Coturnix japonica: one gene and its partners. The protein of the gene in region 6 interacts with the protein of the main gene of each other region in a biochemical or structural test. Links are inferred from orthologs where the notes say so. Each region holds a gene or a part of one and is shown on either strand. Other genes may lie near its edges. The genes, in order: CCNE1, CEBPB, CDK14, USP4, CDK6, RB1 and CASP7.

The links.
Region 1: of the proteins of RB1 (region 6) and CCNE1, one has a biochemical effect on the other in vitro, tested with the Homo sapiens proteins (9 studies listed by BioGRID). The link is inferred for Coturnix japonica from reciprocal best matches to the Homo sapiens genes RB1 and CCNE1.
Region 2: the proteins of RB1 (region 6) and CEBPB form a complex in vitro, tested with the Homo sapiens proteins (2 studies listed by BioGRID, with this or other methods). The link is inferred for Coturnix japonica from reciprocal best matches to the Homo sapiens genes RB1 and CEBPB.
Region 3: of the proteins of RB1 (region 6) and CDK14, one has a biochemical effect on the other in vitro, tested with the Homo sapiens proteins (2 studies listed by BioGRID). The link is inferred for Coturnix japonica from reciprocal best matches to the Homo sapiens genes RB1 and CDK14.
Region 4: the proteins of RB1 (region 6) and USP4 form a complex in vitro, tested with the Homo sapiens proteins (2 studies listed by BioGRID). The link is inferred for Coturnix japonica from reciprocal best matches to the Homo sapiens genes RB1 and USP4.
Region 5: of the proteins of RB1 (region 6) and CDK6, one has a biochemical effect on the other in vitro, tested with the Homo sapiens proteins (9 studies listed by BioGRID and IntAct). The link is inferred for Coturnix japonica from reciprocal best matches to the Homo sapiens genes RB1 and CDK6.
Region 7: of the proteins of RB1 (region 6) and CASP7, one has a biochemical effect on the other in vitro, tested with the Homo sapiens proteins (2 studies listed by BioGRID). The link is inferred for Coturnix japonica from reciprocal best matches to the Homo sapiens genes RB1 and CASP7.

Annotation. Positions count from the first base shown.
Region 1 is NC_029526.1:7,172,422-7,176,662, reverse strand, and holds the start of CCNE1 (G1/S-specific cyclin-E1), read right to left. Parts: upstream 2,831-4,241; 5' UTR 2,496-2,830; coding exon 2,482-2,495; intron 2,391-2,481; coding exon 2,300-2,390; intron 2,154-2,299; coding exon 2,085-2,153; intron 1-2,084. Other genes in the region: uncharacterized protein F13E9.13, mitochondrial-like, read left to right, coding at 3,087-3,159, 3,649-3,731. UniProt on the Homo sapiens protein: Essential for the control of the cell cycle at the G1/S (start) transition.
Region 2 is NC_029535.1:12,271,794-12,275,979, forward strand, and holds CEBPB (CCAAT/enhancer-binding protein beta), read right to left. Parts: upstream 2,900-4,186; 5' UTR 2,521-2,899; coding exon 1,534-2,520; 3' UTR 526-1,533; downstream 1-525. UniProt on the Homo sapiens protein: Important transcription factor regulating the expression of genes involved in immune and inflammatory responses. Also plays a significant role in adipogenesis, as well as in the gluconeogenic pathway, liver regeneration, and hematopoiesis.
Region 3 is NC_029517.1:19,844,346-19,848,681, reverse strand, and holds the start of CDK14 (cyclin-dependent kinase 14), read right to left. Parts: upstream 2,963-4,336; 5' UTR 2,602-2,962; coding exon 2,511-2,601; intron 1-2,510. UniProt on the Homo sapiens protein: Serine/threonine-protein kinase involved in the control of the eukaryotic cell cycle, whose activity is controlled by an associated cyclin.
Region 4 is NC_029527.1:1,689,911-1,694,420, forward strand, and holds the start of USP4 (ubiquitin carboxyl-terminal hydrolase 4), read right to left. Parts: upstream 2,869-4,510; 5' UTR 2,829-2,868; coding exon 2,656-2,828; intron 2,566-2,655; coding exon 2,438-2,565; intron 2,359-2,437; coding exon 2,228-2,358; intron 265-2,227; coding exon 138-264; intron 1-137.
Region 5 is NC_029517.1:20,770,316-20,774,035, reverse strand, and holds part of CDK6 (cyclin-dependent kinase 6), read left to right. Parts: intron 1-3,065; coding exon 3,066-3,233; intron 3,234-3,720. UniProt on the Homo sapiens protein: Serine/threonine-protein kinase involved in the control of the cell cycle and differentiation; promotes G1/S transition. Phosphorylates pRB/RB1 and NPM1.
Region 6 is NC_029516.1:151,017,860-151,022,222, forward strand, and holds the start of RB1 (retinoblastoma-associated protein), read left to right. Parts: upstream 1-1,447; 5' UTR 1,448-1,569; coding exon 1,570-1,664; intron 1,665-1,760; coding exon 1,761-1,878; intron 1,879-4,363. UniProt on the Homo sapiens protein: Tumor suppressor that is a key regulator of the G1/S transition of the cell cycle. The hypophosphorylated form binds transcription regulators of the E2F family, preventing transcription of E2F-responsive genes.
Region 7 is NC_029521.1:24,417,437-24,421,156, reverse strand, and holds part of CASP7 (caspase-7), read right to left. Parts: intron 824-3,720; exon of another isoform or gene 656-823; intron 520-655; coding exon 371-519; intron 1-370. UniProt on the Homo sapiens protein: Thiol protease involved in different programmed cell death processes, such as apoptosis, pyroptosis or granzyme-mediated programmed cell death, by proteolytically cleaving target proteins.

The DNA of each region.
Region 1 (4,241 bases), on a different chromosome or scaffold from region 6:
TAAAGTGGGATGTGACTACGATATTTTGCCTCATGTATAACCTAGTGTCAGTAAACAGTTTATTTAATGTAGAAGTCACGTGGAACAGGCTGCAGAGGATTTATAGCTGCTTGCATTTTAGAATTGTTGTGCCTCAACAGAATAACTATCTCACTGGCTATCATACAAGCCTGCGATACTGCTGCTGGAACCATAAACATATTCTCATTAGTGGCCCATGGCAATTTATATCAGAGAATAGCTTGTGTCAAGCCATAGACTGAAGAGCTGCTGCTGTGCAGCCAAATGTTAGCTTTTTTAAACAGATCTGTAACAATCTGGCTACTTTGTCATAACAAAAAAACCTTCTCTGTGTAGAGACTGATACACAGGTATCCATTTTTATCTACAGTTTACAGAATCAAAGGGCCAAAGTCCCACCAGCGTCCTGAAGACAGCTTGGAAAATTCCTAAATTAATACTTTGGATGCCTCCTGCCTGAGTTATCTGAATATTGCTATACCTATCGTTCCTGAAGTAGCATTTAATAGCAACACCATATAGAAAGAAAAAGAAAAAAGAAAAAGCCCCAGTAAATTGGAAGCCTGTATCCCTGTATCTACTTCCAAAGCTGAAGATCAATGTATGCAAAATATATTTCAAGCCGCTTTTCAAATTACAATTGCAATAAGGGTTTTTTCAATGGTACCTTATTATTATGGAATAAACATTTATTAGAAGCTCTTCCAGAATGTTTTGCTAAAGGAGGGGTCTGCAGTGAAGGACAGGCAGCTCTTCCTTGTCAGTAGTGAGAAATTAGTTTAATATACTGCACAAAAGAAAGACAGAAGGGAAGGAGAGATCCCCTCATTAAATGCTCACCATTTGAGCCCTGCTTAATATGTTGACTGATAACTAGTGTACGCAGTTGCAACAAGCAGAGGCCATTCCAAACAATGATGCCCATCTGTTATGGTAGCACTTCAGTCTTAGAACTTCCAGCTGCCACTTCTGGTTAGATGTGCCACATTATGCATAGCCTCGCGTACCAAATGAGTACTGTCTGTACTCCCTGATCATGACTTTTGCAGCTTAAGTATCACCCTGCATGTGCATTAACTGGCTGAAGTCCTTGCAACAGAGTGAGTGAGCATGTGTGTGCATATGCACAGGAGAGAATCATAAACAAGAATAAACCTACTTCCGAGAGGCTGATTTTGCTCTTTTATTTAGAGCAAGCATCTCAATGCACAAAGGCATCTTGCTTTCAATACCAGATACCAATAAAGCACCCAATATAAACACGACTAACGTATCAAGATTGAAGAACTTAAGAACAGCACTAAGAAGTTTAGGGGATGCTACTGGAGTTCAGTCTGACTTAGTAACTTGGATCATGCCAAGTGTCCTATTTGGAAACTGGCACTGGCCACCAACCCCAGCGAGCAGCCTCATTTGTTCTTTGGCCTACAGTATAAAAGGCTTTTAACAAATCATCCCTTTCATCTGCAGAAGCCTAAAGCCCACATCACCACCACAGTAGTATCCAGTACTATAAACTCCTAATCTGGAACTTCAAGTACTCCCTCGACCTAATAAAAACACTTGCCAATGAGAATAGAGCTAACTAAGAGGAACAAGTGATCTTTCCTCTCTCCCAGGTTATATGTAAGCATAAGACAGGGTTACAAAGAGATCCATCTCAAAACTTGGTTCTGTTTGCGTGCCAAAGGGCTGCATGCTTTGGCCTGCGGGATACAGCACGTAAGTGAACCACTGAACTCCTACAAGGCTCCAGGTACGTCAGTGTGGAAAACTAAGTGTGTATGAAGGCTTTTGTAGGGCACAGCCTGGCAGCCCCGGGACATTTAGGTACACTGAAGCATTCACGTAATGGTTTAAAGCAGTGTAGGCTTCATCCCTTGCAAAGGCTCCAAAGCAGGCCATGCCACTAAGGTGGTTTGTGGCCTTCAACAGCCTGGGCTGGTGGTCCCCTCAACCACCACCACACAACACGGGGTAACTGCATATCTGTGTAATACCAACATCCTGCACCAACAGGCTACTAAGACCAAAGGAAGGTGATCTAAGGCCACAGTCATTACCTGGCTTTCATATTGCTTTTTCCTACTCATTTCAATTTTGGCAACTTCTTCATCGGGATCCTGTAGGAACTACAAAAAGAAAAGAAGGGATTTAGGGCCGCTCACCCCCCCTGCAGCACATGGCCACCCACCCCCCAACAAAAGGCCGCGGGAGCAGCTCCAGGCCCGCACCGCCCTCCAGGCCGTGCCGTGCCGCCCGCCGGGCCTGCACTCACCGTGGCCACATCGGCTTTTCTCTTGCGGGCCCGCACGGTCCCCTCGGCGCCCCCTTCCCCCTTGGCGGGAGCCTTCTCCTCCGCGCAGTCGCTGCCAAGAAACGAGAAGCGTTAAGAAAGAGCCGCCCACCCGGCCTCGCTAACGGAGAAGCCGGCCTACCCGCAGGGCCGGCCGGACTCACCTCTCCCTCCGCATGCTGCCCGCCGCCGGACCGAGAGCACGAGCGGAGCCGGGAGCCGCAGCCCCCACAAAGAGCCACGAGGCGCGGAAAGGCCCCGCCGCGCCCCGGGACCCGCTGAGCGCTCAGCACCCCGGAGCTTCCCCGGACACAGCGCGGGCGCGGCGCTCGGTGCCCGCCCGACGGCGGCGGGGACGAGGCGGGGCAGCTCGTGCGGGGCACGGCACCGACTGCGGGCACCAACCGCGGGCAGCTCCTGCCTCACGGCGCGGCCGCTCCCGTCCCTGCGCACATCGCGGCCCGCACCGAGCGGGACATTTAAACGCGCGGCGCGGGGCCGCCTCCCGCCCGCACACGTGGCCCCGCGCCCAGAGCCGGGGGCCGGCACCCGGGTGGGGCGGGGTCTGCGGGCGCGCTCCGGCCCCGGGGGAGCGCGGGGCACCGCGGGGAGCGGGATCACACGGTGTGAGCAGGGGCGGGGCCGGCGGCACCGGGCGGAAGCGGAGCTGGGAGGGGGGCGGGAGGCCCCGGGCGCGACCCCGCGGCGGAGGGGTGAAGCGAGGTGAGCGGCTGAGCCGACGGCAGCGGGACCAAAGACACGGGCTGCCATGGCGGGGCCGCGGCTCTTCGGGCGGCTGCGGGCGGCGGTGCTCGGCGTGGTGCATGTGGCTGCGCTGCCAGGTGAGCGCGGGGCGGGACGGGGAACACGCGGCGCTGCGGGACCCGCTCGCAAAGTGGGCGGCATGGCTGTAGGGGTCGGGGGAAGAACGGGCACCTGAGGGAACCCGCAGCGCTGGGGGAGCGCTCAGAGAGATGAGGGATGACGAGATATAGGCCGGGCGGAGTGCACAGGCCTCGGGACAGCTCGGACACGTGGCTCCCTGTGGTGCTGCGTCCGGCCCGAGTTCTCATGGCTGTGTGCCGGGCCGTAAAAGAGCTGAAAGTGCCGGTACAACACCGCATCAATACCCTCAGATCTGTGAGTGGCTTCAGGAGCGAGCAGATACAGCTGAGCTGTGACGTTCAGCAAAGGGGAGCACATCTCGTTTAACTGTTTTACCCCATTTCTCTCTATTTTATTATGTCAGCGCATATAACTGCGTTATCAGAAAAGCATCACTGGCTGTATGGCTTGCCTTCACATTGGGGTAAATGGCACTGTTGTTGCAGGGACACCGAGAAATTCTCTTCCGTTGGCACAAATAATTGAGCAAGCTTGTCAAGAAGCAGAAGATTACAAGGATGCTGGAGTTGTAAGTCCTGGTTTCCTTCTTCCCGTGGCAGTATTTACACAAAGCTGCTTCTGCACACCCAGTGAATTGAATTGAGTCTGAGTGACCTAGAAATCATGGAAAGCACCTAAAACCACCGAGTTCAGGAAGACATTTAAACCTGCACCTTTTATTTCCACACAAGTAGGCCCTCCAAGTATCAAAACCTGAACTACACAACACACACACCCTGTGGAACTGGAAAAGCTTAGATTCAAACTAATTTGAGTCTTTTAAATAGGATTACTATCAATTCCCAAGAATCAAGTCAATAAAAGAGAAAAAAAAATAAAACAGATGGAAAACTGACAGCAATATGAACTGTTGCTGGCATTCTAGGTATCTGGATGTAGGATGCTTCATCATCCAGTCTGACAAGCTGCTTTACTTAGCTCTGCTTGGCACACTGCGTTCATGAAATCATGGCACAGACATACGTACTGAATGACTTGCCTACAGGCTGTAGGATTTCCCCACAGTTTGTGTTTGTAC
Region 2 (4,186 bases), on a different chromosome or scaffold from region 6:
TCAGGCTTTGTCCTGGAATCCTGCCCTGCCTGCAGCAAATTCAAACCCACTCTCTTGGTAAATAAAAACTCCTCTGGATTCAACTCAGCACAGACGATTAAGGAGTTCCTATTGTGGGGCACTGGGAATCTGGATTTTAAAATAGTGCTTCAAGTTGGCCTAACAGGAAAATGGAACATGCTGAGTAAGACCCAGTCCTTCTCTCAGCTCCGTGCACATAACCAGCCCGTGAGCTGCTCACAGAGCTCTGGTAGCAGCATGAAGGGCACGGCAGCAGCACATCTTTCCATCAGCAGGCAGAACAGAGCTCCAGCCTGATCTATAGTCTAACAGAGCCTGCCCCATCCTCACTTATCAGCTGCTTTCTCCCAGCTAACAGACACACAAACACCTCTCAACAGAGAAACTCCAGCTACAGGCTTGAGAAGAGCATCACAAGAGGAAAGTCAAGGGGTTGGTGATGTGCCTCTCACCTGGCGGCTTTCGCGAGAGCTTCCGGGCAGTGACCACATTACCGACATCCAATAGAGGCGCTACTTTCTCATGTTTATTCCTGTAAACTACAAACATAAGACACACTGAATCATAATTCAGAGAACAGGAACTCCTCGAAGAAAAAAGAATTAAGTGAAAGCTTCCTCCCTCACTTTTTCTTTCTCCCTCCCACTTGAGCCTTGCAGTTATTTCACCAGATTGGTCACGGTTTGGACAGCACACCTCGCTCTGCACAAATGGAACAGCAAAAAATGCAAAAAAAAAACCACCACCCCAAACAAACGCCTCTTCCCAGGCAGTACCCAAGTGGCAGCTCAAGCAAGTGATTAGAGGAACCAAACTGAGACAGCGAGGACTGGCTGGAGCCTCCAGCGCTGCTCTTTGCTGGTTTCTCTTGGGGTTTTTGTTTTTGTTTTTCTCTGAGTCGCAGAGAAAGCCAAAAGACCAACGCGAGTCCTATCCCTGCTGGCAGCGCCGAGCCAGATCCAGCTGGAATGTCAGCCCTGCGTTTCATCTGACTCAAAACGCACCCTCAAAATAAAACAAGCTACTTTTTTTAACCTAGTCATAAAGTTTATTAAAATCGTTCATTAATGCTTCAAATGTAGCAAGAATGCATAGATCCCAAAATATACATATGTATTTTCATATAGAAATAGATTATTCTTTATAATAAAAAAAAAAAACTGTAGGAACATCTTTAACAGATTACTCAATCCATGACTGACAGTTACACGAGATTGCATCATGTACACAGCATTCCCAGCCATGCTTAAAGGATTGCATCACTTCGCCCTCGCTCTCCTCTCGCCGTTTTAAATAACCCCAGCGCCCAGCAGAGCCCCGGGGCCGCGGCCCCCCCCGCGCCGCCCGCCGCCCCCTGGCCCCGGGGGGAGGAAGCAAATAGAGACCGAAACAACAACAAACAACAACAACAACAACGAAACCCCCGACGAAACCGAAAACGCGGCCCGGCCCCGGGAGGAGGATGTGGGGGGGGGGGCAGCGTTCAGCTCGCCCCGCGGCCCGGCGCGGGGGTCAGCAGCGGGGCGAGGAGGCGAGCAGGGGCTCGGGCAGCTGTTTGAACAAGTTCCTGAGGGTGCTCAGCTCCCGGGTGAGCTGCTCCACCTTCTTCTGCAGCCTCTCGTTCTCGGCCGTCAGCTCCAGCACCTTCTGCTGCGTCTCCAGGTTGCGCTGCTTGGCCTTGTCGCGGCTCTTGCGCACCGCGATGTTGTTGCGCTCCCGGCGCAGCTGGTACTCGTCGCTGTTCTTGTCCACGCACTTCTTGGGCTTGTTCTTGCCCGCCGGCGGCCCCGAGTAGCTCCCGGCGCCGGCGGCCGACTTGGAGGACTCGGAGGGGTTCGGGGTGCCGGGGGGGCTGGAGGAGGACGAGGTGGACAGGTTCCCGCTGCTGCCGCTCGGCACCGACTGGTAGCCCAGGTAGGAGCGCACGGTGCTGCCGTAGGGCGAGGACATGCCCCCCGGTCCCGGCCCCGCTCCCCCTTCTTCCTTACGGGGCCCTTTGCAAGAGTCCAGGGTCTCGAAGACCGGCTCCACTTTGGTCTCCACGATCTGGGGCGGGAAGCAGCCCGGCAGCCCCCCCGGCTTGTGGCTCTGGCTGCCGCACGGGTGGCCGTGCCGGGCGAGGCTGATGTAGGTGTAGTCGGGCTTCTTGCCGCCGCCGCTGCCTTTATAGTCCTCGGCGAAGAGATCGGAAAGGAAATCTTGGCCGCCGCTGCTGCAGGCAGGCTCAAAGTTGCCCCCTGCTGCTGCTGCGGGAGGCGGCGGCTGCGCCGGCTGCTGGGATGCTGCTAAGGGGTCCAGATACGGGCTGAAGTCGATGGCTCTCTCGTGGTCCCCTACGGTGAGCTCGGTCATGGAGCGGCCCCCGGCCGCCCGCGGGTGCAGCTTGTTGAGAGCAGCTAGACAGTCCGCCTCGTAATAGAAATTAGCCACTTCCATGGATTTAAAGGCGGGCGGCTGAATGGGGAGGCATGCTGCGTCCCAGGCCACCAGGCGTTGCATGAAAGCAAAGGGAGATGCGGGGAGGAGAAGACGGCGCGGAGGGCCCCCCCGGCACGGAATCGAGCGGCCGCCGTCGGGTGGGGGTCTCCCGAGCCCGGCGCTGGGCACGGCCCCGCTGCGCTGCCCGCCCGGGCGGCTCAGTCCGTGCGGCGCGGCGGGGCTCTCCCGCTCCCGGAGCTGCGGCTGGAGCTGGCGGTTCTCCTGCGGACCATCTGGTTGCGGGGCCCGTGTCCTCAAGTCTCTGACTTAGGAAAGTTCCTTCGCTCTGTTATTTATAGGGGCGGTGGATCCCATAGCAACAGGCGCGTCACCGCCTGGCCGCATGCCACGCTGCACGCTTCGGAGCTGCCGCTCCGGCCCCCGGGACGCCGCCGGCTGCGGGTGCGGGTGAGGTGCGGGCCCTGGGGCAGCTGTGCGGGAAAGGGACCGCACGGAGCCGCCGCCGCCAGCATCGGGGCGGCCGAGACCTCCCGTCCCGTCCCGTCCCGTCCCTGTCCCTCGGCTGCGGGGAAAGCGGGCACCGCTCGGTCCGGGACTCCGGTGCCGCCGCTGCTCTTTTGCCAGCGCGACGGGCCTTTCGCGTCTGAGAGCAAGGGCTGGCGCTGTGGGGCCGCGTGTGCCGCGCAGAATTGGGTGCAAAACCCGTCTGGGTCCCGTTTTACCCCTGGGGAAATCGAGGCAGAAGGCGTTTTTCCGAGCTCTTTTGCCAAAGCGGGGGAAAAAGCTGCAAATAGAAGACAGATCCTCTTATTCTCCGTCCAGCGCCTGACTGAGTGAACCGCACTGTCAGGCAGAACCGTCCCATTCAGACGCGGGCAGAACCATTTTACAAGAGCCGAGCGAGCGCAGTTTGGAGCGGGGCGCAGCCGGGGCCGCATCCTGACGGCAGCGAGCTCAGAGCCGAGCAGCCGCCGCGCTCCGCTCCCCATCTCTGCGTGCGGGGACCGTGACTGAAGTTTGCCTCAGTGTATTTACTTTGCACGATACCGTGCAACTGTCAGGGTACAAAGGCGACAGGGAATCCGCGGTCTGAAGCCAGAGGGGACCGTGTTTAAAGGCATTCCTTTAAACTCAGAGAGAGTGAGATACGTGCTCGGAACCGTGGAATCCGGGCACTGTCAGAATCGCGGGGTGAGTTTGGGAAGGAAGACGGAATCTCGATGTCCGTTTTAATTAAAGACACCCACCTTGGGAATCAAACTTTATTTTCACTCTCTTACTCCCACATTTACCTGTCTACAAGCTGGTGATTCATCCCCAGAATAAAGGACATTAATTTAAAACAAAACATATAATTAAAGGAAGTAGGAGTGTCCTTTGCCTCAGTAAAGAAGACCCAGCACTGCAGGGAAAATGACACTGCCTCTTAGAATAATGTGAAGCAATCCTGCGGTGTGGGAAATATGGTAACGTTAAGCCAGAGGAACAGGTATTGCATTATACGATTCAAACAGTCAACTGTTCATAATGTTCAAACCTCAAAACTTCGAAAAGAGGAAGAATTCAGAAATATGTCAGTGGATCACCAGACTTTGTCTTTCTTATATTTTTACGTTTACATTTCTTTTGCACATTTCAAGATGGTTTTGCTTTCCATAACAAAAGTACCCCAACAGGTTTTTGGGCTTCAAATATTTCTAGTTCTGTCCTTATCTCCAAGTTAATC
Region 3 (4,336 bases), on a different chromosome or scaffold from region 6:
CCTTTTGGAAAGTAGTTTCAAACATTACTCAGCATACTGTTGCACACTGGGAAAGAAAAAAAAGAAATAAATCAGCATTTGGTTTCCTTGCTGATTTTCATCCCCACAAATAGAGACTGTGGTACTCAGTGGGGAGAAAGTGGTCTTGAAGGCAGTTATTGTGTGTTGGTTTACCAAAGCAAAAACACACTACCAATGACAACTCCAAGCACTTCTGCTACTCTTACTAAAGAGGTTAACAGGAACCACAGTATCAAAACTAAGGGGCTCTGTAGGACTGGAAGGATTGTATTTAGCAGCTGAGAGCTGGTAGCACTGGGAGATGCCCCATGTTGCCCTGCCCAGCTAACCGAGATATCTCTGCTTCGGCAGGGGAAGATCACATCGCTTTGCATCATCTGCACCAGCGTGTTCATAATGCTGCCAGGTACCTGAACCTATGAAAACATTGAAGAGGAAAAGTTAAAAGACTGTCACAGATTTATAAAAAATTGTAAAGGAATGGATGACTGACAAAGCTGAAGATCAGATACAGATTCACTCAGTCACTTACTGACCTGACCAAGTAGCACCCAATTACCAAAAAGAGATGTGAAAACAGCGTGATAAAAATAAGAGCTTTCTCTGCTGAGGGTTTGGTTTCCTCCCTTTAATCTCAAAACAGAAGTGAAGCGGAGCACGTGTCACACCTGAGCATTTCCTGGTATGCAAACCGAGAGTTTCTGAACAGAGGCTCACTTTGCTTGAGCTTATCTGCGGCTGTGGCTGTCAGGGAGCGGGCTCGGTTCAAACCTCAATCTGATAAATCAGAGCTTTTTGCTCACAGTGCACTTAATAGCGTGATGCTCACATTACCGGAGCATCTGTGGGTGGAACAGCTTTGCTGGTGGCAGCTGACTTACAACAACAGAACAGCACCAACAGGCAAACACAGCTCTGGCACTGCACAAAGGGCCCTGGTACACAGAAAGCACAACAGTGAGGGCACCTAAATCAGCCAAAACTCCCACAGAAACTGAAGTGTTTCATTAGTTCCAGCAACCAAAAGAGACAATCACCCAAGAAAGCCACTAGTTAGCACTCAGAGAGGTCATGGTGCCAAGAAGGCATTAGTGGGACCGATGCTGCAATGATAAAGCAGCACTTCCATTTAAAGTGTTGTCTTTGTTAATGACTTCCACTTGGCAAAGCCTGCCCACAGGTCTGTACCAGGCTGTCTGTGTCCGTACATACACGTAAGCATGTGACAGATCAAACTCCTGAGTGACTTTTTTAATCAAACTGGTAAAATGCCTTAAGACATAAGATTGAATATGGGTGAGAGATATTCTCATACGGAAACAGAGGGACTTGCAACTGTGACTTAATATCCACTTCAGAACTGAAACATTCACCTTTGAAATTTTTTTGCAAACATAAACGAGCTCTTTCCAGTCTAACCCACCTTAGCAATCGAACCAAAAGGAAACGAGGAAGATACCAGATGTCAAATGCTCTCCTAACACTTCAAGCTAAAGTTCATAGAATCACGGAAACATCAAGATTGGAAAGACCTCTGAGATCACCCGGTCCAACCACCAACCCATCCCCACTGTGCCCAGCGACCACATCCCTCAGTGCCACATCCACACTTGTTGTGAACGGTGATGGTGTCCCCGCCACCTCCCTGGGCATCCCCTGTGTCGGTACCTCACCACTACTTGGGTATCACAGCTTTACACGTGCTGTGCGCTTCCCTGCCAGGGCTCTGAGGGAGCACAGCTCAGAGAGACACAGAGCAGCTCTGGGAGCCGAGATTTGCCCGACGGCCCCTGACCTGCCGGTGTGAGCGCAGGGTTAGGGCTGTGCCAGGGCCTTCCCCGGTGGCTCTGCGGCCTCCAGCCCAGCCCCTCGCCGCCGCCTCGCACCTCGCCCCGCTCCCCGGCTCTGAGCACGCCGCTGCGGGCAGTCCGTAGCAACACCTCCAACCGGCGCTGGACGAAGCCCAGCATCGCTCCACTATCCGGCAGGAATACGGCTCCAAAGGCGGCTGAACTCTTTGGTATTGTTCTCAGAACAAAACCCGGAGCAAAACGAGCGGTGTCAAAGCCGAACGCGAAGCGGCGGTACCGGGAGACGCCGTGGGTATCGCTGCCTCAGGATGCTGCGCTGCACGGCTCGGCGGCGATGACAGACCGACTTCTTTTGTCCGCCCTCCCCAGTCTCCCACCCGGCTCTATCAGCCTCAGCATCTCATGCCTCAACTTCCAGGAATGTGCAGCCGGAACGAAAAATAAGCGGCCAGAACCGCAGCCACACAATAACAATTCGCTTCCCCGCATTTTTTTTCCTCAAGGTTTCAGTTTGGCAGCACGCTGGGCAATGCCGATTCTCACTTTGTTAGCCTGTTTCGTGCTAACTCGAGCACGGGCTGAGAGCTCACACCGATCTTCCCCAGCGGTACCCGCATGAGGCTGTTACCGGGCACCCCCCGCTCCCCCCGGGACGCCGGGCAGCGCCGCGGGCCTCACCTATTCGACTGAAGCTCTCCGACAAAGTTCTCCGCAACTTTTTCATCCTGCTGATCTTCTCGGCGGACTGAGAGTCGATCATGTCGCACATCGCGGGCCCCTCCGCCCCGAGACGGGACGGCAGCGAGAGCCCTGCCCGGGAGCCGCCGCCTGTAGCGGGACACCCCGGCCCTGCCCGGGGACGGCTCCCTACGGCTCGGCAGCAGCTGCTCTCCCCGCACGGCTCATAGCCCCGGCCCGACCGCTTTACCGGGCTGCCCCGGAGGAGCGAAATGGAAAGTGCAAACGGGAGCGGCGCAAGGAAAGTGCGGCCGGGGGGTGACGGATGGAGGGAGGAGGGAGGGAGCCGGAGGAGAAAGGAGGAGGAGGAGCCCCGAGCCGTGGCTGGGAGAGAAGGAGGGAAGAAGGAGGCGACCGGCCCCGCTCACTAAGGCTGCCGAGCTGAGCCGGGCTGCGGCCCCGGGCCGCCCACAGGGCGGTGTCCCACCACGCCCCGCCCCGCCGGGCGCTGGGACGGGCGGGGGCCGGGCACGGGGTGCCCCCAGGCGGAGCCGTCCTCCCCCGTCTGCCCTGAGGCTGCTGTACAAGATGGGGGCCTTGAAGGGACGTGCGAGCGCTTTATGTTGGTGGTGCGATGAGACGACCCTCTTGGCTGAGCCCCTGGCTTTGAGCTGATGCTCGAGTGGCTGTGGGAGAAGGGCACCTGGTCTGCAGTGCCCACCTAGCCCTAAAACGCAGCCAGGTAACTCACTCTCATATGTGTTATTCTCCGGGTTAATGAGCACTGAGAGCTTTTGATCTGGTTAACTCGATTGAACCAATGTTACTGGAAAATAAATCAGTTTAACCCGTCAGGACAGATGTCTGTGACTGGTCTAAAATAGAAAGCACGTCCTTTTCTGAGAACAAACACACTTTAAAACTGAGGTTTACACATTTTAAATGCTGTTTTAATGCATGTTATCTGGTTAAAAAGGACTTGGGTTTTAATGAGGCCAGTTAACACAATTTACAGGATTAATTTGTGCCCCAGCTCAGAGTGGCTAACTCAATTTTAAAAGCACATTTGTCTAGACAAGCATTTATGTGGGCTGAGTCTGAACCATCTGCAATTGTGAGCAATTTGGGATCAGACCTGCCTGTCACAGGGATGGCAAACGTGGGGCTAACATGGGGCCTTCCTAGGAGGGGCGTTGCTTTCTGCTGTGCGTGTGCTCTTGTGATGTATGAGGTCATGGGGAAGTGTCCTGCCATAGAGCGGGGCCAGAAGGCTGTAGGGTGGCCTGTGCACAAACCCTGAGTCTACAGTTAGACAGAAGGGCTGTCAGAGGTGTGAGTCCTACTGATCCTCTTAGTATCTTTGAAACAGGAGTTAAAATTGATTTCATGTTGGGTATTTTGTATTATGGAAAAAAATAATGGAGACATGGAAACTGAAACACTGAAGAGAGGAAAGCAGGAATATAAGTATATAAAAATTAAGAAGAAACAGACAAGGGACTGGGAGAACACATACACTTCAGGATGTTTTATTCAGTCAGTGCAAAAGATGACATTTAAGTCCCTGATAACAGTCAAGGAGTTTGATCTCTGTTTACATCTGGTGCTAGTATCTGTGAGTACTCCTCTGGGTGAAGAGGAAAATGCCACCACCACGAAAACACATATTCTGGTCCAGAAGCAAATGCTGAGCATTCAAGCCCTTCCTCTCCCTGTGCATACAAGTCGCACTGAGGGCTGTGCTGCCCAGCAGAGACTTGCACAAACACTGCCCTAATTCAGTCTGTGGCTTTCTTTGGGCAATTAGGGATAGAGTTTCTGAGGAA
Region 4 (4,510 bases), on a different chromosome or scaffold from region 6:
TACTAAGAGATCACATGCTCCAGTTGGACCACCTTACTGCTAGACTTTGTTCTAGTCACATCTTCCTTCCAGAGCAAGATACAAAGCGCCTCTTGACAAAGCATCAGAACAGCTTAATGCATGAGTGAGCTACTTACCAACACTGTCTCTTCTGCTGAAGCAGCAGCTGATCACGTTGGAAGGACTGCTGCTCTCACACAGCTTCAGCTCAAGAGGATAAACTTCAACTTCACAGTGCTTCGCATATAGACCAAATTCCATCACCTGCTCACAGAAAGATGCAAAATAACACAAATAATAATAAGATATTAAAAACAAAATCATAAAGTATAAAAGAAGCACATCTTAAAGGCCAGTTATCTGACAATGTCAGTGGAGCAGGAAGAGAAAAAAATAGCTGAGAAGATCCATACCATCTGATGCCACAGCTTCACAGGGCTGTGGGACAACAACTGCCCTCCCCCATACCCTGACACAGAGCATTTCTCTTTACCCTGAGATCAGCTTTCAGCTCATTGGTGCACAATGAACTGCTCAGTTCATAATTAATTCACACTTAACTTCCCAGCTTTGTGCTATGGTGAGTCCACCAGTATTATTCCTTAACTACACGTGGCTGACAAAAAGCTAGTTGCTTTCACTTGCTATTTTATTCATTTAAATACTATGCTCACTTCCTTGTCCTACTGTTCTAGGTGTGTTTTTAACAGCAAAATCCACTGCAGTGGGCAGGTTAACAACGGACTGAAGTTCTTGCAACAATCCTAGACTCTAAAACAAGAAGTTACTTTTAATTGAGCCGTGACAACCCAGACTGTTTGTCTACAAAACAGCATTTGCTCCAAGCTCTACCACTCAACAATTACGGTGCTGCCAACACTTGATCTGAAAACCCAATACTAAAAACCACAAAGCCCCTTTTACCTGTAAACAACTGACAGATTTCAGTTGATTTCAGAAGAGCGACTCATGATTCTACCTTTCAGAATGGCTTACCTACTCAGAATGCATTCATAACTACATATGCAGGAGAAAAACACCTTATGAGCTTATAAAAGAGAACCACAAACATGTCTCTTCTTTTTGGATTTGAGAGTGCCAGAATTTTAGGAGAGAAAACAAGAACCAGGTTCTTGTTTGGAAGTCCCCAAACCACCTGCATTAACAGGTAATTTATCCCAGTGCCCTGTTCTGTCCCATTGAGTACAGCCTGAACTATTGCACGCAACATGAAAGCACTGCACTACTCCAAACAATCATAAACATATGAAGGTAACTGGAACAAGGTTCACGGCTCTCACCCCATGTAACCCACTCACAGAGAGTCAATGAGGATTCAGGCACTTTAACATTGACAAGTCACGTTATTGGAGACAACAAGCTAAACATAACCTGATGTTATTCTTTCAACACACAACTAGTGAAACAAACACCACAGAATAATGTTAGAAAGATCTCCAAGTCCAACCATCAACCCACCATCACCATACCCACTAAGCCATGTCCTACATCTGCCCTTTTCTTGAACACCTTTGGGAACAGTGACTCAATCACTTCCCCAGGCAGCCTGTGTCAGTCTCTGACCACTCTTTCAGAATAGAAATTTTCCCCAATGTCCAACTTAATCTCCCCAGGCCGTTCCCTCTCATCCTATCACTGTTACCTGGGAGAAGAGGCTGATCCCCACCTTGTTACAACCTCCTTTCAGGCAGCTGCAGAGAGATAAGGCCTCCTCCGAGCCTCCTCTTCCCCATGTGGAACAAACCCAGTTCCCTCAGCAGCTCCCTGTAGGACTGTGCTCCAGACCCTTCACAGCTCCATTGCCCTTCTCTGGACACACTGCAGGGCCTCAACGTCTTTCTTTTGGAGAAGGACCCAAAAGTGAACACAGTAATTGAAGTGCAGCCTCACCAGCGTGGAGAACAGGGCGACAATCACCTCCCGCTGGTTGCACTGATTCTGACACAAGGCAGGATGCTCTTGGCCTTCTTGAGAACCCGGGCACACTGCTGGCTCATGTTCAGCCAGCTGTCAACTAACACCCCCAGATCCTTTTCCTCCAGGCAGCTTCCCAGTTGCACCGTCCCCAGCCTATAACATTGCCCGGGGTTGTGCCCGAAGTGCAAGACCTGGTGCTTGGTCTCGTTGGCCTCCATCCAATCAGCCTCAGCCCCAAAGATAAGATAACAAAGGTACGCTGAGCAAACCTTGCTCCACCCAAACGTACTTTCCTCACGATGGGCTGCTGGCCCTCGATGCAGCCATACCACGAAACCAACTTCTGCCAGGCGCTGCTGGGCACCAGCACGTAGTCCAGCTGTGCGATGAGATGCTCCTTTAAGCTCTGAGTCTCCCCATCTGGAATGGAGACGCACATAAGGCCCGGCTCCCTTACAACCCTCCATTCCCCGGGGACCCCCCGTGGGGCCGCACTCACCTCCGAGCAGACACGAGTTGTCGATGGGCCCAGGGAAGAGGTTGGGGTCTCCCACTCCGGCCACGTCCCACCTGTCGTACCCCACGTAGCGCTTCCAGAGCCCGAACCAGCGGCTGGTCAGCACGTACCTGTAACACACGGCCCGGCGCGGCCCTCAGCGCTGCCAGCCCAACGCCAGCACAGGGACGGGGCGGCGGCCGAGGGCCGGCCGGGCTCACCAGGACTCCCCCAGCCTCATGGACGCGGCCATCAGCGGCCTCAGCTCGGCCCGCTGCTCCTCTGGGCTCGGAGCCGCCGCTTCCACCGCCGCCGGTTCCACGGTCGCCGAGTCCGCCGGCTCCGGGCCCAGCTCGGGCCGCACCGTCCCACCGCCTCCCTGGGCCGCCGCCATCTTGCGGCGCTCACCTCCCCGCTACCGGAAATCGGCCTCGTGCGCATGCGCTCTGCGCGAGGGCGCCGTTTTACGGCCCCACCCGGGCTGACCGGAAGTGGTGTGGGCGTGGTTCGGCCGGGTGGGATCCGCGCCCGGCGCTTTGAGTTCCGCTGTGCTGCGCTTTGTGACCCCCCCCAAACCCGCTTCCCCCGGGGGGGGGGGGGGGGTCGGATTGGGAGAGGAATTAAAGAGAGAAGGCGGAGCTGAGCAATGAGGGGCTGGTAGGAGTCATGGAACAGCCTCTGCGAGCCGCCCTTGTGGTGCTCGTGTGTTACATGTGCGGAGGTTTCCCAGAGTTACGTGACTTATTAAGTATCGCATGAAGTATCGCAACATACGCATTAAGTATCACAGCGCCTCCTGTTTCCTTGGTGCAAACAACCAGCAGAGCCTCCTTATCTGCTCGGTTCAGGGGCTCTGTTATCTAAACACTGAGCAGGGCAGGGTGATCCATCAGTGAGTGCCAGCGGGGTTAAGAGTGCAGCCACAAGTGGAGTCATGGCTGTCACAGTGAGTCAGCACACATGGCTGGGCCCTGCAATGGTGACCTCCCTCATAGGGAACAGAATCGCCTCGTTCATTGCTTGCTAACAGAGCTGTCAGAGGTGTTTCCTCCTGTCTGCCCATGGCCGTGATGAAAAACAGTGATAACGAGTCCTCTGGAAGCTTGTGTGTGCAAGGATTATGTGTGCAAAGATGGTGTGTGCAATGCGGCTCATCAGGAAGGAGAAAGGAGTTATAAAACAGCCAAAAGAGCCTTTAATAGGCTTGTTTTGTTCTCCTTTTGATGGCATTTCTGTTGTGAAAACACTTCTGGTCCATGGTTTAGGGTGATGTGCTTGAGTCTGATGGGCAGAACGCTGGGGAAGCCGGGAGATAAAGGCAGGATAGTTTCTATCTGCAGCTCCTGACTGTTTCTATCTAAACTCCTTTAAAGGTTCAAGGAGTTGGTGGCAGCTTAGAAGGTCACCCCAGTCATGAGGTGTGGGGAAGGAGAGCCAAACACTCTGGGAAAGGGGGGGAGCTGGGGCTGATGGGTGGAGGAATAGAAGGGCAAGGTGTGCGCTGGCAAGGGAGTAGCTGTTAGCAGACACATGTTACAGTAGGAAGGTGTAGGAGTGTAGATAAGAGCCAGATATGGAAGGGGCAATGTCTTCAGGCTACGGAATCATCTGAGTGCAGTGAAATGTCTCTTTCCCACGTGGTTCCAACACACAGTAGTGTTGGAGTGCAGGAGCCTGCACGAGGACTGCTCTTATTTGTGTGTGTCACTAAGGAATGATTCCAGGCTGCCCCTTCCACCACCACCCGCTGCCTGGGTGTGATTACAGCAGGCAGGGAGTGAGGCTGAGGCTTTCACCTGCTCTGCACATTTACTGCTGGGACTGCAGCACGTTTATAGCAGGATGGTTTGTATTTCTGCTGGCTGATTTTCATCCTGGAGTAACATCATCCTGCTGGTGTGCATCTGCCCTGGAGCTGCTGCTTTGCTTTCCAGCCAATACAGCCCCAGCAGCCAGGAGATAAACGAATCTCTCTGCAATTAGCAGTGAATGAATACTGTGTACAGCTCCAGCAGGCAGCTCTCCCACCTGGGGAGGGATCCCTTTGTGGGGCTGCCCTGGTGCCCTGTTCCTTGC
Region 5 (3,720 bases), on a different chromosome or scaffold from region 6:
ATTTTCTCATCATTTGGTCCCAGCATTCAGTAAATATCAGACTTGGGAATGCCATCACCAAAACCACATGTGGTAGAACATATAAAACTTTTGTCGTTTCCCTAAAAATTTCTGCTTCTTACTGTTTCCATTATGAGACTTTTGCAAAGTTAAAGCTACATTTTTGTCTCTAAGGAAAGTATCTTGGTTCGTCGCATCCCAGAATAGCTGTTTTCAGCAGTTACAGATAAACATTTTAGGTCTGTACATAGACTGCATTGAAAATGCAGCCTGAAAAGGGAAAACTTTAAGATCATGATTATCTGAAAGCAATCACTTGGAATAATATATATATTTTCAACTCAATCAACAGCTATGGTAGGGTTGGTGAGATTGGTAGAAATCTCTAACTTGAAACAACCGTTGCTATTTGGTATCTATTTGTAAGTATAAAATTCCCAAAGAATATCAGATTGAGATTAGAGCGTGACTTGTTAGAGCTTGCTACTCAAATCTGCGAAGAAATGAATCTTCTTGTTTGTATCATTTTTCAGTTGATTTATGAATTGTGATTTGAACTGCAAATCAAAAGTGTGGTATGTTAAGGTACTGTAGAAGGTATCTCAGGGAAATGCAGACATAGAACAAATGGTGGCAATTGGAATAATGCTAATAAAACAAAAGAGCATAACCAACTGTCCAAAATGAACAATAGAGAATAGCCTATGTGGAGTGAATCTGGATTTCCTTGAAGAAGAAATGTAGCACTTTTCCCCCAGTTTCCCTCCGTAATACATTTTTAATGTACGCTTTCCTGATATTTCCTGATTTCTGTGTGTGTGAACAAAACTTCAGTAAATACTGTTAATCTTTCGAGTTTTGTGGAAGTAGAGAAAGAAATACCAATTTCCTTTTTCAAATATATATGTATATATACTTGATGCATGCCTGGAAGATTGTGAATTCAGAAACTGAAGATGTTGCTTGCAACTTGCAACTAGCAGAGCAGAACTGCATTCACCGAGCTTCAGGGGGAAATATGAAACAGAAACAGCTTGAGAGAATTCTTGATATGTTTGGTAACTGCAGGAATGAGTTTACATTCTTGACAAATGAATAGGATGCAGAAGTGTCACAAAAAGGGACTTGCCAGGGTCTACTGACTAATACTGAAGTTCTTTAAATTCAGGTTGGTTTTTTTTCTGGTATCATGTTTGTCTGGAATAAAATAGTTAAGCCCAAATTCAGTGAAAACATTAAGTAAGCGCTTAAGATAACCACATGGTTAAATGTTTTTGCTATGTTCTGTTCCTCTTCAAGGCTCTTTCAAAGACTACTGGGATTTGATTTAAGTTAAAACAGTGACCAGGTATTACACAATTCTACTGGTGTTGGGGACCTGCAGAGCTGTATTCATAGCTCTTCCACATATTTCTGAGTTGCAAAGGGAAAATACATAAATACAAGAGGATTCACTACACTTTGTATATTTGTTTTAGGGGAGCAAACCCTATTACGCTAGTTACCAAAATGACCAGATCTGTTTTTCTTGAGGAAGCAAAGGAAATAAAAGGCATCAGAATGGAGAGCTCAGTTTACCACCATCCTTCAGAGGTCATTATAATTAAATACTGCCACAGATTCCATAGATTCATGTTCGTATCATCATTTTCTGAGTCTTCAAATCAAAACTGATCTCTATATCAACAGCCCACTGTTACTACTGTTTGGCAGAAGGAGTTATAGGCTGTATATAATAATGGGCATGTTTTATCAAAGGTCAGATTAGAGCTTCCAGCCTTAGTATTTATACATTATATAATATTTTCTGTGGTGATGGCTGGGGACGTTTCATTTTATATTAAATTACATAGCAGTGTCAAAGTTTATCTTAAGAATACATCCAGCTAAAGCAATATTATCAAGTTGAATATTTTGAGCTATTTTAAAATCAATTTTCAGATAGGATTCCTTTTCATAGTGTGCTTTGAATGTTTTCTTGTAAAAATGTCTAAGGTTTTTCCTGTTCCTCTGATGATCACAGTACAAAAGCAACCAAACTCAGTTTTTCCTTCTACCTTTTTCTTGTGTCTCATACCATCCACCTCTTCAAGATCATTTTGGTTGCTAGTAACAGGATTGGCAGAGAGCCTGCTGCATTGCTTGTGGAAAGCACATATGTTAGCAGCAAGCACAGGGCTGGACTTTCATCAACTAGAGTCAAGTGCACACAGAAAATCCTAACATATTCCTTTTGTTTCTTACTCACTCCAACATTTCCTTGTAGCTGTTTGTTTTGCAAATACACTTTGCCAGTTGATGGTATCCCTCTCATTTGGAATTCTGGGGATTTCTAGTGTTTACTTTCGAGTCTCTTGGTTCATTCCTTTCATATTACATAGATGAGTATGAAAACATGAGTACAGATGAAATAGTGTCTTCTGCTGTGGAAGTGTCATAAAAGATTGCATCACTATAACACAACAGAAAGCCAACTGAGAATTATTACACTAATTTAGTGCTAAAGTTTGATCTAAGCAGTTTCTACACTTTTCAGTATATTCTATAGAATGGGTTTTGACAAGTAAACTTTTTTCCCACTGAAACATTAAATTCTGACAAAATGGTCATTTAATTAGCTTTTCTGTTTGAAACAGAGCCTGTGCCTATTGAAGTGAATAACGAGATTTCACTTCACTGAGGCAAGAAAAGCAGACAGCTGGGAGGTGCAAAGTGGTGCGTGGTTTAAAGTTAAAACCAAAATGCTGCAGTATATTTTTCTTACTTGGACAGCATTCTTTCAAAGCTGATATGTGTTTTGCAGACATGCTTTTGTTCTTTAAGTTTGTTGACCAGTCTTTATATTTTTAACAATTAACCACAAATAATTCAACTAGAAACGATACGTGAACTTGATAAGTACACCTATTCAAGTCAGCAGGTTCTAGCAATATCCTGTCCATTTTATATTAATAGGTGTTTTTATCTCAAGTCAGTACTTACTTAAATTAGTTCTGCAGACTGTGGCTGGGTGTTTGCTTGTTTGCCTTGTCTTGATAACTGCATATTGATTTCATTATACTTAGGATATGATGCTTCAGCTGTTTCGGGGACTGGATTTTCTGCATTCACATCGTGTGGTGCATCGGGACCTGAAACCCCAAAATATCCTTGTAACCAGCAGTGGGCAGATAAAGTTAGCTGACTTTGGCCTTGCACGAATCTACAGTTTTCAGATGGCTCTTACGTCAGTGGTGAGTTTCTGGAGGCTTTTATTTTTCTTTTAATGCGGCACAGTCCTTTAGTCTCTATGGCTCTGATAAACAGCGTATTGTAACTCTGATTCTAAAACCATCTCTACTGTTAAAGTTACTTGGGTCTGCAAAACAATTGCTTTCCTGCCTGGACTGAATTTGTTATGGTTACTTTGTAAAAGTAATCAATTACTGATTGCTGGTTCTAAATTAAATCCTGACTGATCTCTGAAGGATAGGTATGTGCTAGTTTTCTGAAACCTCAGCAGTCTAGCTTCTGTTGTGATTTTGGCTAGTTTGGCATGTTGAACCCTGTAGGTATGCTGAAAGTTTCCAAAGTATACCTGTTTAAAGGTAAAACTCATGTTGATGCTGAGGTGGTCTTGCCTGAAAATAATATGCAGATGATAATTTTGGAAATGTCTCATTCATACCCGTGATTTCCCATCTTTGTGAATATGGATTTGGTGTTTGCTCCCATAATTTA
Region 6 (4,363 bases):
GTTGTTCAGCAGCTGGGAGCAATGACTCAGGCCTGCCTGAGTGGGGAACATTGCACAGAGGGCTGCTTGTGTGTGACCTGCAATCTATAAGCTGTTGGAGCGAGATGTTTAGAACCAAATTATGGCCCGATCTGATGAGAAAAAATAATTAATACTTTATTCTTCTTACCTTTGTCATTTTAATCCAAAAGCAAAAGGCTACACTTAAAAGGGGATGTTTTTAAATACAGGACTAAAACACTTAGATATCTAGGGAGGAAAAAAAAGAAAAGCAGCAATTTACATATAGCTTTATGTATGTATCTCTCTTATGAAGTACATACATACCCATTAGATCTTGCTGCATTTTAGGTGTAGTCACTGTAACCGAGGGATGGATTAGAGGTTACTGTAGTTCATCTGCTGCTCCTCTTCTCCTTCCGGTTCTCTGTAAGCTGTAGTGTGAAGTAATAAGGATATTTTTTAGTTGTTTCTGTGTATGGAAGAGAGCCCTGAGTGCCTTGTCTGATGAAAAGCTGCATACATTGACCTGAGCTCAGGCTTGGCACACTGAGGTTAGAAAAGCAGTATTTACACTGACACTGGTTGTCAGCTGTTGAATAGGATACAATATTCCCTAAGCGTTAACACACAGGGAGTTATGAGAGCAACACAGATTCTTTGCTTATCATTAGGGTGATCTAGAGCCTGGCTCCAAAAGCAGCTGAAGCAGCTGTGAGTGAACTGCCCAGGAGGGTGTGTTCCTCCTTGTTGACAGCTGGGAGGGTCATGACCAAGTTTTCTGAGATGCTTTGCTCTGGTTTTGAGCTCCTCTGTGCTCTTAACACCAGTTGTGAGGAGAGGGCAATGTTATTTCACAACGTTATGAGCACACTTGGTGAATATGTGGTTCTGACAGGCTGAGGGAGCCGGGCTTGTTCAGCCAGGAGAAGGCTGTGAGGAAACATCATAGCAGCCTTCTAGTGTTTAAAAAGGGATTATAAACATGAGGGGAACCAACTTGTGTAAAAGGGTAGACAGTGATAGGACAAGGGGGGAATGGTTCCATTTCAGAGAGGACTCAGGTCCTCTCCAGTACCAGTAAGGTTTGGTGTTAGAGAAAACTGGTTTGCAGCAGGTTTGTGCGGTGTGAAGACTGGGATTATGCTATGATGCTGTGTCCTTTAATACCTTCATCAATGATATCAACAGCGGGTTCGAGTGCACACTCAGCAAGTCTGTGGGTGCCATCCAGCTGTGTGGTGTGGCTGATACACCTGAGGGATGAGATATCCCTCAGAGAGACCCACGCAGGCTCGAGCAGTGGGGTCCAGGAGAACCTCACGACCGAATGGCCTTTAGGGGTCCTCAAATGATTGTACGATCCGAATTAACCCCTTCAGGGCAGCACGGAGCCATGTTAGAAGCGGAATAACGCTGACGATTATACGATCCGGAAGTGACGGCGTGTTGCGTGCGGGCCTTGACGCGATTTTCCCGCGGTCTGGGCTCTGGGAAGGGAAGGGAGGGGAGCGAAAAGGAGCGGGGCCCGTTGGTGGCCGCTTGTTCGGCGGGGGCACAACGGTCACTATGCCGCCCAAGCCCCTTCGCAGGGCGGGCGCCGCCAGGAGCCAGCGCACCAGCCCCGAGGGCGGCGGCAGCGCCTCACCGCCCGGCGGCACCCGGTAAGCGCAGCGCTACGGCGCCGGTATCGCAAACACGGCCCGCGCGTCCCCGCCGTGAAGCGGCCGGTGGCAGCGTGTTCCGCAATGCTTTTGTAGGCTGGAAGTGGGGGAAGCGGAGTTCGTGGCTCTGTGCGATGCGCTGAAGGTGCCGGACAGCGTGAGGGAGAAGGCCTGGAGGACGTACGAGAGCTTGGCGGCCGCCGACGGGGCTCCGGTGAGTGTGGTGACCGCTGTGGGGCTGCGGGACGGCGGAGTGACGGAGCACGAGTGGTTCGGCCCTGGAACAGGCTGCCCAGGGAGGTTGTGGATGCCCCGTCCTTGGAGGTGTTCAAGGCCAGGTTGGATGGGGCCCTGGGCAACCTGATCTAGTAAAGGTGTATGTTTGGTGGTCCTGCCAGGCAGGAAGGTTGGAACTACATGATCCTTGAGGTCCCTTCCAACCCGGGTCATTCTGTGATTCCGTGAGGCTGCAGTGTCTACTTTGGATGTGTGTGTGACCCGTTTGGTCGCTTTTCCGTGTGAGCCGCAGTAGGGAACCTGCTTTGGCAGGGGGTTGGATTGGGGCACCTCTTGAGGTCCCTTTGATCTGTGAAAGCAGCAGCCTGTGAACATCTTTATCCAGGTCACCTCCATGTGTGTGTGCGCAGCTGCCCACCGCCTCTCACTGTGCAATAAAGCCTATCCGAGAGTCTCTCAGTGTGTAGGAAAAGGCCTGTGCTGTGTTTTGGCCCAATCTTGTCCATTTTCCTCAGACTTCCTGACAGACCAGCAAGGTGTTGGGATAGGGATGCTGGCAAGTGTGTGCCTCCAGCAGGTGCTGGGGTTGCTGCTTGTAGCTGACACTAATGCAGGCTTCATTATTGATTTAGCAGAGGGTTGTTAGAGTTAGGGTACTATGGTTAGGCTCCAGTTGGACTTGATGATCTTCAAGGTCTTTTCCAACCTGGATAATTCTATGATTAATTTGAGCCTGAAATCCAGCAAATTAACAGCCTGGCTAATTGCTGCTTCTCTTCCCAAGTTGAGCTGTTACCATGTCTTTGCACCACGACTTTTTGCAGTAGCTAGTGAGCATTCAGGGTAAGGCTCTACTTAAATGCCAATCCTCTGAGGGACAACTTGGAGGGCTAATGAAGAAGCAGCGTGGCCCTAATGTAAGATGCTGTATAACTGGATGGGCACTCAGGGTGTGAATATGGGCTTAGGCCTGATCTGAACACCTGATGTATCCTTAATCAGTGAATGGTAATAAAAATAACTAGTATTAGCTGTCACCTAGGGTACGTGTAGCTGTCTGCAAAGAGATTCTGCAATCAAAGCTTATTCATAGAATCATAGAACCACAAGGTTGGAAGGGACCTATAAGATCATCTAGTCCAACCATCCTCCCTTTACCATACCTACAGAAAACCCCCAAACCATATCTCCTAGCTCCCTAAAAGATTATATATATATTATATATATTATTACTGTTTTGGAAAGTGCATACCAAGATAGCTGGGATACAGGGACCTATGAGCCTGGGTGTGCTTGTGCTCCACTAAGATACCTCAGGGTGCCTGGCCAGGCAGGCATCAGCCAGTGTGAAAAAGGCTGGTATCTGCTGCTCTCTGAAATGAACCCTCTGTGAAGCCACCAAACCTGGCTTGCTGTCTTTTTCCTTTAAGGCTTTACACCTTTTCATGTTGTGCTTTTCTTCTTCCCCTTTTGAATGTGAGCTACTAATGATCTTTCTTCTGTCCTGTAATTTTACCTTCCTCACCTTGAGATGTCCACACTGCAGCTTTTCATCCTGCTCTCGGTTTCTTTGTTTCCTCAGCAGTTTGAGTCAAGGTTATGCAGCTGCTCTGTATCACAGCTGAGTCGTGGATCCTTGAACAGCTGAATGCTGGTGAGAGGTTTGCAGAAGGAGACAGTATTGCCCTCTCCTTTTCATAGCCTGTATGAGAGCAGCTTGTAGCTTATAATTCTAACCCTATGGAGAGAAGCCATTTAAAACATTACAACTCTGTTAAATGTGGTAGTGTTTTTCTTCTTCAGTGGGGAATATTAAAGCTGTGACAACCAGAGTTTAACTGCACTATTTTACAACAAAACTGTAATTCAGAACCTCACAGGCAGAATCCCAAAGGTTGATTCCTCAGATGCAGCACTGCTGATGGAAGAAGATATCTGATATGTGACTAGAAATATGATTTTTGCTTTAAATTCTTCCTATATCTGGTGAGCTCCAGTGCAAATATCATATAAACATGGTAGTGCGTATATAGGTAAGTTCTGTGCTAATGTCATCAAAAGACTTTACTTCTTGTCTACCAAACTAAGTTACTTAGGTAAACAAAATACTTGTTTATATATACTCTAAATACTCTAAAGTCATTTTCACTCTTACACCCTGACAGCTGTTGACTCTGGAAACTGGCTTCTTGAATGGACTCTAATTGTAACTGTTCCTAAATCTGTGTTAAGAAGCAGTGATGCCTCTGAGCCTCTAGATGGAGTAAATGGATATACTGGAATTATTTATTGGTCTCTTTATGGGAGAGGACCTTGAGGCATAGAGTCTGATTTCAGCCCATCTTGTTGCAGCACACGGTGCACGGGTGCAAGCTTTGCTTTGTTGTTTGCTGTTCCTCATAGCACTGCTTGAGAAATGTGGCCTACTCTATTCTGCTGCTGTCAGCTCTTTGTACGCATGA
Region 7 (3,720 bases), on a different chromosome or scaffold from region 6:
ACATGGGCTGCAGATACCAAAGTTCAGGTTTTAACAATGCAGACTTAAATTCTAGGACAGAAGTTGAGTTAAAAGTTGGCAGAACAAGCTGATGTACTTTTTTTAACCACCTACTGCAAAGGAGCTGTAAAGAGCTACTCTAATATAAGGATTAAAGAACAGGAACAAACAGTATGAACAACTGCTTATCAAATAAAGTGAATATAGTCATTAAAATTCCATGTCCTAAAAATAACAGGTTTATTGATTAATGAAAGTATCTGCAATAAGTGTCACTGAATCACAGAATCGAAGAATGGTTTAGGTTGGAAAGGACCTCTGGAGGTCGTGTGGTCCAACCTCCCTTCTCAAGTAAGACAAAGAACGTTACCTGTTTTGTCTTCAAAATTTTTGTTGTTTATAATTATACATTTGCCAACCTTCTTGTAGTTCATATTATACTGGAATGTGGGTGTAACAATTCGGTACTGGTTACTGAGGGTGGACTTTGGTTGTTCTTCTTCTCCATTCTTCTTTTTCCTGTGTGAATCAAATGAAAACACTGTTAATGACCTGTCATGTGAATGTGCTTATTTATTCTAACTCATACCATTGGGGCAGCACTACCTGATGTTTTTATTTCTCTTATATTTTTTTTTCTTTGTATTTCATACAGAGATGTAGAGATATTAACTCATGGCTTAAGTCTCATGATTTCCGTGCAGTATTTGGATACTGATGATGGTAAAATCACTCTTGAGTGAGCTGCAATCAACTGCAATGCGTACAGACCATGACCAAATATCAGGCTGGCAGCAGTCTTTTGCAAACTATGGTTCTAAATGTAAGTACTATTTTAATTTTACTGTAAGTGATTCATGTAAGCCCAGACAGATCTTCCTTAATGACTACTGCAAGCATTACAAGCAGATACAATTTACTATGTGGCATAATGGGATCTGTTTATTGAATCATCCCTAAATTCTCTGAAAGTGATAAAGAGCAGTAGGTATTTTGTACTGATAAAGGTTATAGATATTGACAGCTCATTTGTTAGCGTGGTTTGTCAATCGATAGTTTGAAGCTATGCTAAAAACTAAGTGCCATTCAGTGTGACGTCATCACTATCTCAACCTCATTATAAACAAACAAGAAAATCCTATAGACATTCTCCATTAGTATAACTGTGCAGTGATTTTTCTGCTTTGTGATGGAGTCTTAGATTGAATTAGAAAAAGATGGTGAGATACAGCATGGACTTTACCCAGAAATTTATTCTAAATTAAATACTATAGAATGAATCTGTGATAACCAGCATGCACATCTGAGGTACAAGCATGAGGAACTCAGCAGTGCTTGCTTTTAGAGGTGGACTTTTTTGTCCAGCCAAGTGATTTTTGACATTGAGATGATCTCTACAAGCAGAACTGAAGCCAGTGAAAGCCTTCAAAGGCTCTGATGAAACTTCAGAAATACAAGCAAGCCTTGGAGCAGGCCTGCTTAGAAACAATACTTGGGAAAGAGCAGAAGGTATCAGCATCTTGCTTCCAGTAGTACTCATTGCTGAAGTATAAGAGGAAAACATAACCTATTTTCTCAGCACAACTAGCAGTACTGCAACATTTTAACAAAATTAGATTTGTACCATTAATGTCAATGAAGTACTTTCACTGTTCCCACTTTGACATCTTTCTAGAAAATTACCAAGCTTTTTGCTTCACTAATAGTCCTCACAGATGAGATTGCTGTGGATTGATTAAATGTTGTTTAGGAAATGTACTTTCTTATCTTCCTGACTTAACAATTGTTGTTCTCTAGCAATTGTTGGAGTCTCCAAGTGTCCTATTTTTCATTACTAAAGGGCAAGACTAACTGGAAACCATAATAAAGCATCTCTAGATGATTCATCATGTTCAAATGCCATGGCAATTCAATTTTAAAACAGTTTCTTCTTATCTTTGAGTGTCCTCATGCTCTAAGTGACCAAATTAAATAGCTGCATCTGGCAGGCTTTCTCCATACTCTTTTTTCCCATCATCCTAATGTCATCTCCTCTCTTAGACTTTTAGAAACTGTGAAAGAAGATTTTGAATTATACCTACTTGAGGACTATATTTGATACTCCAAAAGTACATGGTTTTATTCTGGCAAATCACAAATATTGGTATTCTCCCTGCATACTGCTTCTTGAGGGCTCTGAGAGCAATAATTAAATATGCTTTGCCTCAAGAAAAGATTTTAACCATTTTAAAGAGTTATCCGCAGCTGCATGATGTTATGGATGCATGATGGGTTTCAAAGAGATCACAGATTCTTATTTTGGCCTAAAATTCCCCCTAGTCCAACATCACAAAGACAACTCTTGGGAAAAAAGAAAAGGGAAAAAGAAAATTCAAAACAAGAAGTGAGCACTCAGGTCAGTGAAGAGACTAATTTCCTCAGTCCATGCCCTATTCAAGTTTCTACAAATGTATCCACCTTCACTGACTTCCTGAATATGCTGTATGACTATCCGTGGATGTTACACATACTCAGATGTTTTCAAGGGACAAATGACACAAGGGACAATAGACACAAATTTCTATTGATGTTCAATCCATGAACAGTCCTGAACACCTGGGATAGATCTACCTACATGGTGCAATATCATATTTACACTGCTGGAAATGATCTAATTCGAGACAAGTCACGCAGTCACATTACCCAACAAAGATCTTTGCTGAAAATAGCAGCTGGGGTTAAGTGGCACAGTAAAGCAGCCACACAACTTCTCTGAAACCACTTAACTTCCGAGTTCAATAGTTTGCACTCATTCATGCAGAAATTCTCAGGACTTTAAGAGATATAGCTACTGCTGGTATTCCCAAAAGCATGCCAGAAGCTCTATGCAGTTCAACATCAAAGGTCACAGACAAGCCTTGCCAGTGAAACAGTCCACATGAATCCATCCTTTAATTTCCCCATTCCTTCACAAAGGATACTATGGTTTTGTTCTAGTGATTGCTTCCAAGCTTAACAGGATAATCAGATAATAAGCAACCACAGCGTATCTTGTGGGGTTACGCCTGTCGTTCCTTTACTGGCAGACAACAAAACAGTTCCAGAAATCTTTTGGTATCTGTCCAAATTGAATGAATAAGAAAGCAAAGGTTGTGCTGTACACTTATCCCACACTGCAATTCAGGGAGAATTTTTTTTTTTATTTATTTATTTATTTTTTTTTTAGGATTTTATTTGCTGTGCCAAAATAGGGCAATTTGGGAATTGCCTGAGTGGCTTAAGCTGACAGTTTGAGGTTCCAATCTTCAGTTTAAACAAATTAAATCATACCTTGTAATAATGACTAATAATGTAATAAAAATGTACTAATCAGTCCTAAAGGGAAATTCCTTGTCAGTGACAGGCTGTCTTATGACTGAAAGCATAAAGCTTTCTAGACAAATTGTGATTTTCTAAGCTTTGAACTGGACACATTAACATAAATGTTTACCACCGTTGTTCTCTAAGCTTTCTAATCACAGTGATTTCTGAGAGCATTTCCATGAGTTAATTATGTGCTTTTATAAACTGTTGTCAACTATCTGCTCTTAGTTTTATTTCTTTCTGCTTCTCTGATATCCAGTGTCTAATTTCCCTGTTTTTTTGGATTCAAACTTGTCCAGTCTAAATAGAAACTTATATTTTACAACTGTTCCCTCTTCTTTTAGTTTTTAACCACAGCCATGCTTTAATTCCTCACTC